2 linked regions of the Saccharomyces cerevisiae S288C genome follow. The gene in region 1 interacts genetically with each later gene. Each region holds a gene or a part of one and is shown in the gene's direction. Other genes may lie near its edges.

Region 1 (3,277 bases):
AAACCGTCTTGCTGATTGCGCCACCATTGTCATTTAGGGAACCCAATGCCAAATGACCTTTGGCCTTACAAAGAGTCCAAATCAAAAAACCGAAGGCCGCAAATGGAGTGATGGCGGATTTGAGTGCAAATATATGACGCAATTTGTCAGGTGGAAACCATAGGAACGGTAAACATGCGACCCAGAAGACCATGAAGCACATGAACTCGAAGTTCGTCAAATTGGGGTTCTTTATGGTGTCTTTGATTCTAGTATTCAAATTAGTACCGAAGATAGCCTTTAGCATCAACTGAACACATTGACTACCGATATAAGCCAAAGTAGAATTCCAGACACATGCCATGACGACACGGTTGATGACAATCCAGATGGAGAAGTAGATACCAAATGATACTCTTGAGGAAATGGGGAAAGAGATATGGTAATTGTTCCCCACTTTGGAACCCAGTATCAAGAAAAATGCGACAAACGTGTATCCAACCCAAATACAGATCCAAGTCTGCCACCAGTTAAGCCCTAACTGTAGCCCAGTGGCTGAGATTTGCCATGTATTGACGTTAAAGGACCCAGAAATCCAAAAGAAAATGTACTGCTTCCATGTCCACGTTCTTCTTTTTGCCTCCACGGGCCGCAGATCTGTGTTGTACAAGTACGTCGAACGGAGGGACTCCTGTAAATCTTTAAATGTCCTAATTGGATTTTCGGGCTTATGATCGGCCAAATCGGTAGAGTCATTCTTAACCTCAAAAAACTCGACAACTCTTTGCAGCCAAGACACCTTTTCGTCATCCTGAGCAATGGTTATATTGTTTTCTGAATCGGTATCTTTTTTTTCAATGACATTAGCATCAATCTTAGAAGTAATTTTAGTCGCATCACCCATCTCGGACTCTTTCGTGATTTCTTCGTAATCCTCCGTCGGTATAGTGTCGTCCTTCATTGTTTTTGAAGAATTATCGAATCCAGAATCAGATACCGGCATTTTCTCTTATATAGAATTAATGAATGAGAGGACTAGTTACCGCCTTTTATTTCCGCAATGTGCTGCAAAGTAAAGCAAAGCTGTCCAATACTATGTTTTAAATTTTACAAGAAGGTCGAAGCAATACTACTGTTATATAAAAGATAGGATAGCATGTCATCGAGTAATTGAGCAAGAGAGGAAATGAAAAACTTTTCCGTTGGAGAATTGATCAAAAATTTTCAAAAATACGACATGTCCCTGTGTTGTCCAGGCTGACACAATAGTTTCAGTAGCGAGAACCGCCAAGTTTTATTGCAGCATCCTTTAATGGCAAAGATGGCGCGATAAGGACGAAACCGGCAAATCCCGAGCATCAACCACAGTGAACGCCGCGGAGAAACTCAAAGGCGAAAGGGGAGAAAAAAAGAAATTAATGGCACATACCGCTTTGTGGCATGGCTCAATCACATTTCTTTTTCTTCTTTCTGATCGCCCGCAGGAGAGGCAGCGCCGTTTGTGTCCCATCGCAAGGACAAACTAGCTAGGACATGAGACTTCTAAGCCGTTCAGTCGAAAGAGTTAGGGCATTAGTCTCTAAAGATAAGTGTGGGGGCTTGGTTGAGTCTTGATTTAAAAGCTTGGAGTAGGCATTTTACGATCTATTTTCTCTCGAAATAAAGTAAAGGTATTGCTGCAAAGGAATTGCCGTAATATTTAAAACTTCTTGCTTAAGTGATGTAAAGGCAGTGAGGCGATAGCAATGTTTCGTAGAGCCTGTGACTAGTGAAGCATAGGCAATAAATTGTTTTTTTTTTCTGATTTTGTATTGCCGTCTCTGCGTCGCAGAGATTTGGTGTTCGTACGGAGCGATAATTGTTTTTATCTTTTCCAACTTAAAGGATCGAGGAAACTCAAAGGGTGGCAAAAACAAGCGGTATAATACAAGGTGAACTGAGTTGGAAAGAGAGTAGCCAAGACTATTGAACTATAAAGTTAAACAAAATATGGCCACTATTGCATCAGAATACTCTTCGGAGGCGTCAAATACACCCATTGAACATCAATTCAATCCTTACGGTGATAATGGTGGTACAATCCTGGGCATTGCAGGTGAAGATTTCGCAGTGTTAGCAGGCGATACAAGAAATATCACCGATTACTCAATTAATTCTCGTTATGAACCCAAGGTTTTTGATTGTGGTGATAACATAGTCATGTCGGCGAATGGATTTGCAGCAGACGGCGACGCTTTAGTAAAAAGATTCAAAAATAGTGTAAAATGGTACCATTTCGACCACAACGACAAAAAACTATCTATAAACTCTGCAGCAAGGAACATTCAACATCTTCTGTACGGGAAGAGGTTTTTCCCTTACTACGTTCATACGATCATTGCGGGTCTTGACGAAGATGGTAAGGGCGCTGTCTATTCGTTCGACCCAGTTGGCTCCTACGAAAGAGAACAGTGTAGAGCAGGTGGTGCTGCGGCATCATTGATCATGCCATTTTTGGACAATCAGGTTAATTTCAAAAATCAATATGAGCCAGGTACAAACGGTAAAGTCAAAAAGCCTTTGAAATACTTGTCCGTGGAAGAAGTCATCAAACTGGTGAGAGACTCGTTCACTTCTGCTACAGAAAGACATATACAAGTGGGTGATGGGCTGGAAATCCTTATTGTCACCAAGGATGGTGTAAGGAAAGAATTTTATGAGCTAAAAAGAGATTAATGCATACATATCATAGTATAAAAAGAAATAGACCAATATCAACATCAATTTTATGTATTTTTTTTTTCTTTTGGTATAGCATTGATATATTGAAATTTGTATATATTGCTGCGAACACTATTTAAAACAGGTTTTTTTTTTATTTTGGCAGTTTGAAACCCTTTCCTCTGATGACTTTAGTGTAGTAAATGTAAAAGAAATCAGAGTACAACAGAGTTTGCAAAAGTCCCGCGAAGAAGGCAATCTTGTCCAATTTTTTATCTTCCGTGCTGTACCTCCAAATCCAGTTAGGAATATACAATGCTCTGTATAATCCCATGGCAAAAATATAATGAACAGTTAGACTTCTAGTCTTCCCACCCTTAGATAGCATGTACAATTGAGGTAGAATAGCCACACTCTCCAACCATACAGAAAAACTCCATGCTAATTCAAGAAAAGTGAACTTGTGATGGAAAAAAACACTCATTAGAGCACTCCCAATTAGTAAATGCTGGATCTTAAAGGTATCATGCATAAGCATTTCATTATACGCAATGGTGTTGGTTCTTTTAGACCCTTGTAATAGCACTACAATGTAAGC
Region 2 (3,078 bases), 280 kb from region 1:
CAAATGGCATTGTGCCAAAGCATGTAGTTAACGTGCAAAACCCACCAAAACAAGAAGTCTTTGAAAAAATTCCCTCCCCTGAATTTAATTCGAATAACGAAAAAGAACTAGTTCAAAGAAAAGGGTCTGCGAATGAGAAGTTGCACCAAGAACTCGGTGAGAAACAGCCTGCCTCTTCTGCCAATGGATATGAGGCACATGCTGCCACTCATGCCAACAATGATCCGTCTTCTTTATCCTCAGCCTCCTCGCCTTCATTATCTTCTTCTTCTTCTAGCAGCAAAACCGGTGTAGTCAAAGCTGTTGATAACGATACAGCCGGATCTGCTGGTAAAAAGCCATTGGCCACAGAAAGTACTGAAAAAAGAAATTCTTTGGTGAAGGTGCCTACCGTTGGCTCATATGGTGTTGCGGGCGCCACTTTACCAGAAACAATTCCAACATCTAAAAATTACTACTTAAGGTTTGATGAGGACGGTAAATCCATTAGGGATGCGAAATCCAGTGCAGAATCTTCCAACGCCACCAATAACAACACCTTAGGCACGGAAAGTAAGCTTTTGCCAGATGGTGACGCCGTTGATGCACTAAGTAGAAAAATTGATCAAATACCCAAAATTGCTGTTACTGGTGGCGAAAATAACGAAAATACCCAGGCCAAAGACGATGCTGCCACTAAGACTCCACTCATTAAAGATGCAAATATTAAGCCTGTTGTCAACGCAGCTGTTAACGATAACCAATCGAAGGTTTCAGTGGCTACTGAACAAACAAAAAAGACTGAAGTAAGCACGAAAAATGGCCCATCAAGATCTATTTCCACGAAGGAAACTAAGGATTCTGCGAGACCATCTAATAACAATACTACTACTACTACTACTACAGATGCTACTCAGCCCCACCATCATCATCACCACCACCGCCATCGTGATGCTGGAGTGAAGAATGTCACGAACAATTCTAAGACAACCGAATCCTCTTCCTCTTCATCGGCGGCAAAGGAAAAACCAAAACATAAAAAGGGGCTATTGCATAAGCTGAAAAAGAAGCTTTAAAAAAAAGCTAGGACGATAACAAATTTTATTTTTATAATATGGTGACATTAAATTAATATGTATTCTTCTTTCTATCAAGTGTATGTTTTATGTATCTCTAATTTTAAAAGAATAATTCATTTTACCTTGTGCAGTGTTTTCATCAAACAGAAATCTCAAGATTTAGTTTCTACGCATGCATTGCCTCTTTCTTCTTCGTTCGAGAGGAGTCACAGCTAGGATTCATTACGTATGTTAGTCACACGATTATATCCAGGGGGGTAGAACATACCGACCATAACTTTTTTGCCGTTTTTCTATTAACCGCGGCTTCTATCAGGAAACCCTTTTTCAGCAAATTAAAAGAGAGCGAGGCTAAAACTCTCTGGTGGCAGTGAAAGATTCTAGGCCGGGTCCAGTTTCTAGGGGTAAAATAGAGCGCAAAAGATCTCGGTGCAGATCTAAGGCGGAAGAAAAGGAAATGTGATCCGATTTTTTATGGAAGCAAATAGAAAAACAGGATCAAACGCTTTTGTGGGCGGGAGATGTTATTATGTAACGGGGCTTTTATTAGCATGTGAAATGCTTTGTAGAAGGGCATCCCTGGAGCCCTTTTGGGCCTTACAGTACATGTTCAAGATTGGCCGACTATTAGCAGAACTACAACTAGGGTTGCAGTGGGAAGTATGAACGATAGGGGTAAGTCTAAATGTGATATAGTTACAGCTAATAATATCTTCTTGCTTAGTTTTGTTGAATATATGTTGCTTCTGAAGTACGTGCAGTTACGTCAGTGCGCGCATACATGTTATCCATATTCCTTTTTCCTCTTTTTGACCCGCACTTCATTTCGCGGTTTTTTTTCTTGTTTTGGTTTGCCCCCATTAATTATCTGATCTGGGCTTTTTCTGGCAATAAGTAGTTATCACCGGATCATCTCATTATTATAAAAGGGACAAAGGACTTGCGGCTCCAGTTTGTATAAGGGAAAGCGGCGCACTCTTCATTCGATAGGGGCTCAAGTTACCAACTACAATAAATTACATTATACTATAACATGTCATCTGCTCTATACAAACAAAGCACAAATTTTACTCATTCTACCGGTTCTTTCTTGCAAAGCGCACCTGTTGAACTGACGACAGTCAGTGGGTACCAGGAGTTTTTGAAGAAGCAAGAGAAAAAGAACTATGAAATTCAAACAGTTTTAAGCGAGGATAAATCACATGGTTATGTGCTAAAGGACGGCGAAGTCATCGCTAATATCATTGGTGAGGCCAAAGATTATCTTTTGGATTTGGCCGGCCAGGCTTGAACGAGTGGCTAAATATTTGTTCGATACGAGTCACTTCATGCACACTTTGATTTGCACTCTTATTGCTGGGCTGTAGTTTTCTTTTCCGTTTTCGCTTATAAATCTAACATGTTCTATTAGGGGAAAGAAAGGCGCAAATTGTAGAGTTTGTTAGGTCTTTTAAGTACTTGATTTCACCAACCGAAAGTGAAAGAAATAAAAAAAGATAAAGCTATTATTATTACCATGACCCTGTCATTGGTTTAAAACGTTTGTCCGTCTGCTTTTGATGTTTTTAAAAAAAATTTAAATAAATATTCTAAATAAGTGAATTACAGGCTGGTAGATAGTTCGTATACGTATAAGTTTTTCATTTAATTAATTTCGTCTCTATACCTGGACGCATTGTAGTTGAGTTTTCTAGAGATTTGGAGGTGTCTTAAAGCATCCGAACTGGGAGGTCTCGCAAATCAGAGGTCTTGGTCAAAAGTGCAAAATTCTTTAAAGGACGAATACTGAAAGTATCGTTTGCTGCTATTCATTAGGCAACCTCATCTTACTTCGGGACCGACAGGGAAAACAGTCACACGTTTTAAAAATGGATTTTTCCCTGTCTAGTATAGTATGATCAGAGCAGGAACGGCGCTCAACTACATGCGCGTTGTGGTACGTCCGCTCTATGAAAGGGCATTTCCTGCGCAGCCGACTACGGACCCTTTCAATAACTTGTTTTACCCTCTAAAATCCCTT

The links.
Region 2: of PRE7 (region 1) and YBR085C-A, changing one enhances a phenotype caused by changing the other (phenotypic enhancement), as found in Saccharomyces cerevisiae (one study listed by BioGRID).

What each region holds. Positions count from the first base shown.
Region 1 is NC_001134.8:139,279-142,555, forward strand, and holds PRE7 (proteasome core particle subunit beta 6), read left to right. Parts: upstream 1-1,968; coding exon 1,969-2,694; downstream 2,695-3,277. Other genes in the region: FUI1 (uridine permease), read right to left, coding at 1-982; ERD2 (Erd2p), read right to left, coding at 2,834-3,277. UniProt on the Saccharomyces cerevisiae protein: Non-catalytic component of the proteasome which degrades poly-ubiquitinated proteins in the cytoplasm and in the nucleus. It is essential for the regulated turnover of proteins and for the removal of misfolded proteins.
Region 2 is NC_001134.8:418,178-421,255, reverse strand, and holds YBR085C-A (uncharacterized protein), read left to right. Parts: upstream 1-2,091; coding exon 2,092-2,349; downstream 2,350-3,078. Other genes in the region: IST2 (Ist2p), read left to right, coding at 1-1,055.